2 linked regions of the Drosophila melanogaster genome follow. The protein of the gene in region 1 interacts with the protein of each later gene in a pairwise test. Each region holds a gene or a part of one and is shown on either strand. Other genes may lie near its edges.

Evidence for each region. The genes of interacting proteins can lie anywhere in the genome.
Region 2: the proteins of cert (region 1) and CG5890 interact in a two-hybrid assay, tested with the Drosophila melanogaster proteins (one large-scale study listed by BioGRID).

The regions. Positions count from the first base shown.
Region 1 is NT_037436.4:8,283,864-8,291,753, reverse strand, and holds the start of cert (ceramide transfer protein), read left to right. Parts: upstream 1-1,883; 5' UTR 1,884-2,041; intron 2,042-2,270; 5' UTR 2,271-2,305; coding exon 2,306-2,584; intron 2,585-3,533; coding exon 3,534-3,926; intron 3,927-3,996; coding exon 3,997-4,145; intron 4,146-4,379; coding exon 4,380-4,440; intron 4,441-5,284; exon of another isoform or gene 5,285-5,561; coding exon of another isoform or gene 5,562-5,627; intron 5,628-7,460; coding exon 7,461-7,685; intron 7,686-7,749; coding exon 7,750-7,890. Other genes in the region: CG7201 (uncharacterized protein), read left to right, coding at 9-360, 429-840, 897-1,170.
Region 2 is NT_033777.3:25,854,469-25,859,183, forward strand, and holds the start of CG5890 (uncharacterized protein), read left to right. Parts: upstream 1-1,685; 5' UTR 1,686-2,505; intron 2,506-4,715.

The DNA.
Region 1 (7,890 bases):
ACGTGACCATGGAGAAGGTGTTAAGGCGATGCAGTCGCCTGCTCCTCCTACTGCTGCTGCCACTTGTCAGCTTGTGTCCAAATGCATTGGCACTCAATCGACAGGCGGATGCTGGCCAGGCTTTGGATATGGCAGCGCAGCTGGCGGATGCGGAAGCCGAAGCCAGGCCGGATTACGATGCCGATTCCCCGGATACGCCGCACATACGCAAGAAGCGACTCATCTGGATTACGGATGATGGCAGATTGGCCCTGCCGCCGGGCACTTCGCTGACATTCGTGCCAACCATTGCCATGCCCCTGGTTCGGCATCCGCCCGAGGGATTCTTCTCCAACCTGACCATCAGTTTTCCCGTCACCAGTGCGTAGACAGCTCTCAATGTCAATGATTAATCAATTAACTCTGATTTTTGTTGCCTCAATCCACAGTTGACTTCGACAAACTGGGCCTGACAGACAACCAAAATCCTCTGGGGGATCTGCCGCCGCTGTTCGCCCGCTCCTTTGGTCACGAGGCAGGCCACATGGTTGGTGAATATGTGGCGAGGTATCTGCATGTCCAGCGCAGGAAGAGGGATCTCAGCGAGCAGCGGAGCAGAAGCAACGAGGATCATCCCTTTAGGATACACGAAGAGGGTCCAAAGTATCCGGAGCTGCCAGCCGGACTGCAGCATATTTTCCATGGCGGAGAGCGGGTTTTGCTCTATGGCGTAGTGGAGGACTTTCTATCCACCTTTGGCATGGATGGCAAGGCCTGTTTGCTGAGAACCATTTGTGAGATGCACTCACGAAGTTTGGAGAAGTTCGGTGTCTTTGGAGAAATGACAAAGCTATTTTTAACGTGAGTAATTTCCTCCTTTCAATCGTGATTCTTTGTTACACAGATCTCTCTTATAGGGTAACCAAATCTCCGTTTTCCGACCTGGTACCCGACTATGTACAAGCCCAGGAGGTGGGCGAGGGAAAGCAAGCACCAGGAGAATGTTTTCCCTACTTCAAGGACTGTCCGAAGAGTATATTTAAGGCCTTGTCCAGCAAGTATAGCAAACCAGCTCCTGCGAGCAAGACGAAAAAGACAAAACCCACAGACAGACCGGTGGGCGAATATCATGAGGAGCAGGTCATTCAACTGCCCACCACTCGGGATCAGGACAACAATGTGTATATGTAGAACAATGACCAACTCCCATGCGAACCCCTATTGTTGACCTCGTCTAGATGTTAGGATTACGATTGAGTTGAGCGCGTCCTCAAAGTCACTTGCTTGTAATTAACGTGTACTAATTAATTTATAATTATTTATTTTATTTACGCATTGTATTTATTGTTAGTCGTAGGCGTTGTTAATTGCTTAGATTTGTATCCATGTTTGTCTAGTGGTCTGTAAATAATTGAAATTGTGGCATAATTCCTTCCTTTCAACAAATGAAAACGTGTCGAATGAATAGAAAATAAATTTCCCTTGAAAGGTGCTTTATAATTGTTTTCATTCAAATAACAACTTACGGCAATAATGGCCAAGATATGTACAACATTGCGTTTTTAGATTTAAACTGGCGCCAAAAACGACAACTGCCTGCATTGCACAGCACTATCAGCAGTTACAAATCAAAGTTTGAAACCAAATTAAAGTGGTTACACTGGCAGCTAGATTTGGGTACTCTCCATGTTTTTGTGAAAGTAATATATGAAGCAAAATAATACTTAACGGTACTTAGTGCTCGGTTTGTAGTTATGTAATTACTTAACTAATTGCTCATTTTAAAGGGAAGATTTAAATTCAAATTTTGTGTATTTATAAGAAGAAGAAAAAGGCACTTCTGACAACTATCGAGAGTAAGACATCGATAGCGTAACGACTTATCGAAGGAACCGTCGGTCGTCAGACCATCTCTAGGTCAGCTTTGTTTTGGTTTTGCAGCGAAAAAAACATCAGCGTCGTGAGTTCTCTTCGCTTATTTACCAAGCCTCCCACAAACAAGCCAGAGCATTACGTGTTGCACAGATGTTTGCGGATCGTCGAGGAAATCAATAAACGAAAGGTGAGTGCTCCTGGGTGGGGGCCAGCTGGCGCTTCAGAACCGCGAAAAGGCGGTGCTGTGAGTCAGGCGATGCGATCGCTGATTGAATTGGATTATCACGATAGGAGCTCCCATCAAATTGCCAGCCGGCATTGTAGTTGTTTACATTGCGCGGACGTGGCGCAATATATTTTTAATCTTCTGCGGCAACCTGCTGATTAAGATACCCCCGAACCGTTTCATTGTATAGATAACTTGGCAGTTGAACTCCGGAGCTGGAAGAGGATGGACACGAACGCTGGGGAGTCGCTGGGAGCATCGCCGCCCTCGAGCAATGAGGCAGCGGCGGGATCACAGTCCCAGAGCGATGCCTCCGAGGAGGAGGAGTATCTGGACAACAGTATCGAACTGAGGGGCTATCTCAGCAAGTGGACGAACTACATCTATGGATGGCAGCCACGCTACATAGTCCTGAAGGATGGTACACTCTCCTACTATAAATCCGAATCGGAGTCGGATTTCGGGTGCCGCGGAGCCATCAGCCTGACCAAGGCCACCATTAAGGTAGGACGGCCGAAAAGAGAGAGGGTGGAGCTCCTTCCCCAAGTGCTTTCAATTGGACTAATAAAAAAGTAATGGGCGTGAGTGTGTGCGCATGTGTTTGCGACACATTAACCAACGATGACCGCGACCTGAGGTCTCCGTTTCCATTCCCAAGCCAATACACCCATTCCCAATCCAATTCCGAGCGACGCAATCAATGCAGCGCAATCAATTAACGTTGGGCGACCAAAATAGACCAAAATTGAAGTCATCAATGTAAGTGGGGTACCCCTCAGACCTAGGCGCTGCTAGAAGGCCTTCTGTTGACAGGAGGGCGTGTTGTTCTAGGAGGGTGTTTCGCCATGAGTGTGTACTTATCTATTTATACTGTAGGAGCTGCCAAAAGCATATACACAATGCTGACTCACTAGAAGCGGCCCTTCCATTCATTCGCCTTGACTTTGCGAACACTGATCTTATTCAAAGATATTGAAGCCTCATTTAGTTCAAAGAATTTTTCCCAACAATCCAAATAATAATTATCACCGATTTAATCGATCATGATTGGATTACTTGGATTACTTTACAGTGAAACCAGCTCACTTGTAGTTTAAGTTACTAATAATTGGATTTATTTGCAAGTGATTCATTTAAAATTTTAATTAATTTTCACAAATTTCTCTTAGTGTTTTGACTCATTCAGGTTCCACTGTAATTTCCATTTGCCAACAATAATCTTGTATTCGGGTGTTTTCCTTGTTGATTTCATGTTTACCACTGATTTGCGTTCCGCTATAATCAACCATTCAAAGTTAATTAGGTTTTTTTTTCGTCGAATTTATTGTATTTCGTTTTAATAACTGGCTTATTACTGGCATGAAATTTTCATTTAAAATATAAGTAAGATAAACCGTTTATTTGTACCTATTTTGTGCCTTTTACTAAGTTCAAGTTTATTTTTCTTTTGTAGGCCCATGAGTCCGACGAGCTCCGATTCGATGTTGTGGTGAACAACTTAAATAACTGGTGCCTGCGGGCAGAGACCAGCGAGGACCGCATGCACTGGGTGGATGTGCTGCAGCTGTACAAGGCGGACTCCGGCAGCACGGACACCACTTCCTTGCGCCGCCATGGCAGTACCATGAGCCTGCAATCGAACACTATCTCGCTGACCAGCGGAGGAAGCCTAAAGAAGACGCAGCGCAACCTGCGCGAAAAAGTCGGCGAGCTGGAGACCTTTAAGGATATACTATTTGGACAGATCGAGACTCTGCAGCGATACTTTGATGCCTGCTCGGAGGTGAACAAAAACAATGCGCAACCACTGGACCTGGGCGACGGTCTGAAGTCCATCGATTTCAAGGTAAAGTAGTGCACTTATCGGGCCATTGGTATATGTACAGTGTACTAAGCAAAACACTCGATTTTCTCAGGGCGAATCCATCACGTTTCGGGCCACAACGTCCGGCGTGCTAACCACCCTGCAGCATTGCCTAGAAATCATCGCCGAGAGCGATGAGTCATGGAAACGGAAACTGGAGCGTGAAATAGATAAGCGTCGACGTTCTGAGGACCAAAGCAAGTAGGTTGACCTAGTCGGAATAGATTCCTACAAGAAGAAGCAATTTCAATTACCTTTTTTGTATTTGCTTGAAAACCATACGTTTCTTTAAAAATTATCATGCTATTTCATGGTTTAATTTATTTAAAAAAGGATTAATAATGTATTTAAATTTAATGTGTACATTCATTTCTGAAGTTTATTCATTTAAACGATATTAAAACTATGGTAAAATTCTATGTTTCTTCTTTGCAGAAAGCTCAAGGATGAAGTTGAGAAAATGAAGCGTCTATCGTATCCTGGCCCAGATTTCGAGGTGAGTTCAAGTTTACAGCTCTCGTAAAAGCAAAAGCGTAATCGCATTCACGGTCATTGCTGCTCAAATCGGGGCCAAACACGTTCCCACTGAAAATGCAAACAATCGCCGAATGAGTGGCGCGAAATTCGTATAAACGATTTGCGTGCGATTTGTCGGCGTCTTAAAATAAACTGCCTGATTCGACGTTGTGTCAGAGATTTCATCATATGCAAGGAAAGTAGAACACGCTGGACTATTATTCAAGCGTTTTCAATTCGATTATGGAATGCCAGTATTTGGTTCCGAATTTTGGCTGACACGAAGTTCCCGTGTTCGTGTTAATCTGGAATTGGTCATGCAATATCGTTTTTCCGCTTACATTTGTTTGCCCAATCAATTCCATTTTAATGGCATATGTCCACAATAGCATTAGAAAAATGATGCTCTCCTACGAATTGTAAGTGCTCAACTTGGTTGTTATTCTTGGCTCGGTTACTTGGCGACTACTCAGGCTGAAAGACTGGGCGTCTAGACGGTTTCATTAGGCCTGTTTGACAGTTGGGCGTAGCTTAAGATCTACTTCGAGCCAATATTGCAGATATTGACGTTGAATAACGATCCAACCGTTGGCTAGAATGCACTTTGTGCAACGGGTATATTAACTATTACGTCTTCAGTGATCTTCATATGAAAATTTTGTTAGAAAATCCCGATTTAAGTGAACAATATATAGTAAACATGTACGTGATCTTTCACTATACGTTCAAGCTTAGAGCATTCAATATGCGGCTCACTTTTTGAGCTGTGGCTTTTAGCCTGGCTTACAGCTGTCAGGTTTATGGCTTATGAGCTAGGCTGGTCAGTCGGCGGTTAGCGATCGAGTGGCCAACACGTAGCAATTATAAACAAATTTGCTAGGCAAACAATTCAAAACGAGACTGTTTCTTTTTCATATTGGTCGTGGCATTTAATTGAGTGTGCAGATTGTGAAATTTCTTGCGTTGCATTGAAAGAGCTATAATAAATAAACAAGTGTACACAATTGTAGCAATCGCTAGTTCATGTTGCAAATATAAAAGCGCCGCACGCATCACTGTACAAATATACAAATTTATAAAATTATAAACAACGTCAACGCTATGCCCTCGGCGCGATTTCTGTGGCGCTCCGGCGGATTTCAGAAGGGCAGCGTTAAAAAAATAAAGGTACACTGAATTAAAATCATAAATAATTTACATAAAGGAGTGGTGGAATATATTTTTATAATATGTGTTTCGTATGGAAATATTTCAAGGCGTATTATCACTTTTATAAACAATAAACGTTTCAATATATCTCCAAATAAAATTTGATAACACTTTTAGTAATTTTGAATTTTTTTTCTATGTGCATATATAGCTGATAAAAAATATTAACAAACATCGTTGTGTTTTTGAAAAATTTCTAATCAGCTATGAATGTGGAATGTCAAATATTTTTTTATTATGATAAAAGTATTAGTTCGGAAGCATTGCTTTGATAAAATAATGGTATTTTTCCTTAGTGTATGAAATGTTGCCTAAAATAAGTTTCATAAAATGTTGATGTTGGTTTTTTCTAACCAAATTGGCCTCATTAGTGGGCCACCCCACTCGCTTTTGAATGTTGAATGTTTGAAGTGCGGTGGCCAAAGAACCCCAAGAATTGATTTATTATTTAAATGCAAGAAATCCTATCCATTGGAGCTTTTTGCTCTGTGCGCTTTTCGCTTTTTACTCTCAGTCGCCCGCTTTCTCCTGCTCTCTTTTTTTGGCCTTCTCTCTGCTCCGCTCATCCTGGCCAAGTTGGCCAGTGCGTTTGGGCCACCAGCAACAGTTTGTTTTGTGTCCTTGTGCTCGACGGAAGGATTCGCCAGGACACAAGTGCGCTCACTTTTCCTGCTTTCGCCTGCCACGCAACCCTTTCTCTCTCTCTCTTTGGCTCTCTTGCGGTGCGATTCCTGATTTTTTCCTGCTGAGAAGGAGCCTAATTTTTGCCGCCCAAAAACCTCTTCGCTTTTGTTGGGTTCAACTGCAACAATTGGTGGAGGAGCCTGGTAAGAGGAGACATAGCGACGCCACAGGAATAAGTACGCATATAGCCCATGTCTTCATTGTTGGTTAGCTGCGAGTGCCGCTTGGTCAAGATGATTATGCACTCGAATTCACGCCGCAGGGTGTATTTATTTCACCGCCTTTGGCTGCGCACATCTCTGCTTTAATTAATAAATATCAATTCAATTCCGCACAAATTCCATTCGAGGCATTTATTTTGCGCCGGTTGCCGTTCTGGGGATACACGCGCCAGTCGCAGACGTCAGAATGTGTACAGTGAACACTGGCTAGCACAGAATGGAGCGGATGTATACCTCTAAAGGGCCGAACTTCAAGGGACACTTTTCCTATATATCAATCCTAATTTCAGCATAATATTCTAAATACTCTCAAAATATTATGATTTTGTTTGTATATTACAGTAGCAATTTGGTAAACTCTGTTGCGAAATTCGAAACACATTGTTAGGAGGAAAAGAATTTTATAAATGGCAAATTTATCAACTTAATTAAATTTCGGCAGTATTATTGTGTAGCTTATTGGTGGTTTTTCCCCACGAGATGCCACTGCTTTAATGGGATTCAGTACCAAGTACCAAGCCCCGTCTGGCGGTCTTCTGCTTTCGTATTCATGGCACAATGATGCGCCTTTGTGTCCATTATGCTCGCCCAATTACGCATGCCAGCCGACTACGAGAATCTCCGCCTGGCGACTGGTCAGGGTATGGAATGGGCGAAAAAACAACAGCATAAATTTGATTTTCTTGGGCCATTTGGCCGCACAAGTGTCGGCGATTAATTTATACAAAGCACGTTCCATTTCTTTCCAATTGGATTGAATGCGGTTTCGTCATTAAAATTAATTAGGCCGAACCTTCAAAGATGCTTTTGGGCTAAACTTGACTTAGTTTGCTCGATGCTAATGGAGATATATGTATAATATGACATTTCCCTTTCAATTTCGCAGGAGGGTCCACATTCCACATTGCCCGAGGATGAGTTCTTCGATGCGGTCGAAACGGGCCTGGACAAAATCGAGGAGGACATGCAGCTGCGCTTCAAGCTTAAGCTGCAGTCCCAGATCTCCCAGACACTGGTCAACGTTCCACACGAGGCGGTGGCCGAGGGCGAGGAGGCGCGCGAGGAGTTCGGCACGGGTGCGGAGGCCACCAGCCATGCCCTGTGGCCGGAGGTAAGACCGGAAATTGCCAATCTGGCCCCCTAACGACCAGCCAATAATTGGATTTATCCCGCAGATCGATCGCGTGTGCAAGGAGCAACTGCATTACGCACGCGAGGGCGTTGGCCAAGACGGCAACGGCTGGCAAATCTTTGCCGACGAGGGGGAGATCAAAATGTACAAACGCGAGGAGGAGGTCAACGGGCTGGTCATGGAT
Region 2 (4,715 bases), on another chromosome or scaffold:
TAATTTAAATTGCATAAAGAGGTGCATACGAAAGAAGGACTAATTATGCCAGCTCTCAAGGCAACAACTGTTTTTACCCCTTTTTTCACAGCATGTTTTATGTACTGTACCCTATATTGTTAGGTCCCCGAGCGTTCTTCCATGGTCATTAGAAATTTAATTAAAAATTTTGATATTGTTAGGAGTATAGGGAATTCTATTTATTTCAAGCTTCTTCCGCCCGATTGCCCATTAAGCGGTATTAAAACTGTCTTCCCCTCGGTGCCAAAGTGTCATACTTGTGCATATTTCACACCCTCGCTCGCATTCACAGAAATGTGTGCACATTTCGCAGGCAATGAGCTTTTGAACATTTAATGAGTTAATACGCTAAATTTGAAAGCCGCTCAAGCGTGCGCCAAGTGCTTCAAACACTTGTCCCCATCCCCGAGCTGCCCATTTTCCAGCTTGAATAATGAGAATGGGGGTATCAAGCCGCTAAATCCAGCACTGAAAAATTTTTCATCAACTTAATAGAAATGTGTTTATTTTTTAATAATATACATTTAGTTTGTAAGATATGTGAAATAAAATAATTTCGAGTTATTTATGAGAATTATATACGAATAAAAGATCAAAAAAATAAAACTAAATTTTTCTCAGTGTACGCACACACGCATATGCAAAACACTAAGCACTTGTCATTTGGCTGTAAACCCTACGCGTCCGTTCGTTGGTATAAAAAAAACAGTGCAAATGTCCAACAGACGAGCATATGTACATACATATGTACACTATAGGTATGTGCGATGTATGTACATATGTACATATGTGCGAAATGGAGGATTGGTTGGCTGTCGTGGCGTCGTATTCATCCTGAACTCATGGGTGTCATTTCTCAGGACCCTCGCGGTCTGCAGGATAACAGCAGCGTAACAGAAGAAGACCCTCACTGGGGACCAGGACCAGAAAAGTAGAGGCTGCCAGACTGCCTCACTTTTGGCGTTCAAGTGAAAGGACGAAGTCGCCGACACTGGTGTGGCAATACTTTTGGCAGCCAATTGTGCGGGCTGAGCAAGATGAATGAGGAATATGAGTGTTGCTTGCACAGTGGGCTACTTTCAAGGGTGTTGGAAGATTCATAACTATCTTAAAGATGCTTTCAGCAGTACTTCTTATGTGCGAGATATAAATTCAACAATTTCTAGATTTTGTAAATAAATATTTCCTTCTCTTATCCAAAATCATTTATAATAAAATAATAATTATTTTATTATAATATACAATATAATAATAGTTGTCATGAATTTAAATGTCACAAACAGGCTGTCTTTCATTAGTAACATATTTTAAAAATTACTCATACGCCACGTTGTCAGTCAAGTAAATATATTTGCCATTTAAAACAGCTCTTCCAATATTATTACAATTCAAACTAATTATATGCGTTATGTGGCTACTTAGTCCACTGTAACCGCCGAGGGCTATGCTATACCCTATGTGCCGCCCGCAACCCAAGTGAGTGCGCACCCACTCTCCGGCGAACTCGCTCTCCGTCTCCGGCGGAGTGGCTCCGGATATTTCGGCAACAGAAGCCTGGCTGCGATAGCCGGAGATTTTCCGAGCGAGGGAAAACCGAATGCCGAAGCGTCGCTGCTGGCAAACATTTTCCATTTTCGCAGTCCTGTAATCAGTTGTGTATAGGACACTCGCGTGCGCGCGTCGAACGGTTTCTGGCTTTATTTGTGGGAAAAGTGTGTGTCTGACGGCGAAACGGTAAACGGGGAAAACGCTGCGCGGTTTTTGCTGCTATCGAGTTCTTCTTTTGCTGGATTTTATATATGGAAACGATTGTTGCTGCTGTATCATTGCAGCTTGCAGCTTTAAATTTAACTTAAATGCTAAAACATCGTTTTGAAAAGCAACGCGAGAGTTAGACAAACAAGTTGGAGGAAATTTTCCAGCTACAGCTACAGCTGCTGCCTCAGCCAGCGTCGCAGTCGCTGTTCGAGATAAAGGATATGCCCGGATCTAAAAGATACAGTTTTTCCTCTTGTTTCTTTTTCCGCTGCTGCTGCTCGTGCTACATTTGCTGCTTGGCATTTTCCGCACAGCAACAACAATCGTTGAGACAGGACCGCAAGTTTTGCTAAAATGTAACATAACACCAAATAAGCAGAGTTAGGAAGAGTGAGCGCCAAATAATGCAAATAAATGAATAAGCCCAAATCATTAACAAATTAAAACGAGGCACGCAAAGGAGGGCAGGAAAATATAAATATCGAAAGGAGTCAAGTCAAGTGCTTTCGAGGAGCTGTTTGCTGACATGCTTTGAGGTTAATACCACCCACCACCACCCAACCGCCCACTACCACCCATCTCAACCATCAGCCATCACCAACTCCTCCTACCTCCCTCATCTCCGTTTTGGCCAATTTCTCCGTCTGCTTTCGCCGCTTTCTTCGTCAACGCCGCTGCTGCCGCCGCCGCCGCCGCTGCTGCCGTCACCATCAAAAGGCATCGAAGGTAAATATATATGTTATATTTTAGCCGAGTGTGTGTATATAAGTCAATGGGCCAACAAACTAACCTACAAAGTAAACAAAAGCGTTACGCTACAAATGCAAATTTTTCGCACACATGCTCAAGAACTATAAACAACAACTCATTTAACTGACGCCATGCCCCCATAAAAAAACCAAAAACAACGCAGCTTAAGACTAGAAATGAAAAAAAAAAAATGGAAAACAAACAGTGAAAAGGTGGAAATGGCACGGCAAATGAAACACAACAAAGCAAAACGCACGCTTCTAAAGCTATTTGTATAAAATTTTAATCGCATGCGATTTATTTGACTAGGCGCCAAAGTCGCACGCACGCACACCATCGCATTTTCGCAGAGGCACCCACACACACACACACGCAGGCTAGTGAAAATTCACACACTCACCTTGAAAAATGCGAAAAAACAGTCTGGAATATTTTGTTTATTTTTCGCAAAATTATGGAAAATATTTATGGGCTCTATTTGAAGTTTGAGCTGTGCCAGGTTTTTCATTCAATAATTGAGGAAAATAATGAAAATGTTTAAAAAACGCATCAAAGAGTATTTTTGTGAGATTATATTTAAAATTGGATGTGAGGCTTCGATTTACTATTGAAATGTTAATTTTCATATTTATTTAAACAAATAAGAATCTGTGTTTGAAGACGCACCTGGCTGCAATTGTTTACTGTTTACGGCACTGTGAAAATATATTAAATTGTTCATACATATTTTTAACTTTTGGCAGAAGTGTCGACAACTTGTTTATAATTTTCCAAAATAGTGAAGCTTTACATATGTTATTTTTTAGCATTGCGGTAATATATGGGTGAGAATCGAATATACTAACATATTCCTTGAGTATACGATTTGTTTGTTTTATTTTCTTTAACAATATTACAAAATGAATTATTCCCAGAAGTGGTAAAACTCTTTTTACATGGCGTTTAAATTGCGTCATTAAAAATTCCCATTATTCAACCCAATTTCCGTGTCATTTAATCCGTGACAAGCTGTTAAAAGGAAACAAACAAACAAAAGTTGTGCGCAACAATTGATAAGCAACAAAAGCAACTATCGTGCCGCTTGGCAATAAACCATAAAATAAATGCCAATTCCATTTAGATGCACAAGCCGATTAAAAAGTCAACTTGGCATAGTTTTCCAACTCGTGCGACATTGATTCGTGATTGATTTGGTCATATTGTAATCTAATTTCACCGATTTGAAAAGTAACTTCAAGTAGTGTAAATCACATTATGTAATTAATCAAATATATGGAGATTTAATATATATATTTTAAGCGATTTTACACGACAAGGTCCTTGCCAAACTAAATTCGCTGTCATCTATTTATATAATCCCTGGCCAACTATTTTAAGTGCTTCTAGCCGAGAAAAGCTGCATCTGCATCCTAAGAATAAAATGAACTTGGTCGCGGGAAGCTGGATGAAAAACACTTAACGCGCAACTAAGCGACAATTGTTGTTTTGTGTGGCATTTAAAAATAGAATCAAGGTGCGCTCTAGTTTCATTCATCCACACACAGAGACATCCCCACTCACACACACGGCGCACACACAGATACAGGTACAGAGCCTACATAAAAGTGGCTGCTGTTGTTTTGCAAGTGGGTGAATGCGGGGCAAAGGGGCGGTCGCCGGGATGTATGCTACACGAAACTGTAAATAGAAAAGTTATAAATAAAATTCACACGAGCCAACATTGAAAAAATGAACTTGGAAACTGTAAAAAATAAAATAAAATATAATAAAAACCTGGTGAGTGGACGCCATATAATGGCTGATCATTCAAATATTCAATTATTGGAATGAGCATCGATGACAGCACACAAAATAAATATTGGTAGATGATATATGTTAAATTTAAACATTTTGTGCAGCACATCTGGGCACTATTACTTACCGGTTAAAGGTCAAAACACCTTGGCCTTGGCCAAAAGGAAACTCTAAGGAAAACGCAAAGACACGCAAGGCAATACCAAACGAGAACCGCAGCTGTGAGCTGCAAAGTGATTCAACGCTTTTCGGCTATAAAGTGCCTAATCACTTTGGGTGTTAGATGTGTGGGCCATTCAATGACACTGGTAATTACTGGCCCAATCGAATGATATTGTCTTGGCCTAAGTGAGTAATGAGCAAAGGGCGTGACAATCGCCAAACGTCCAGAC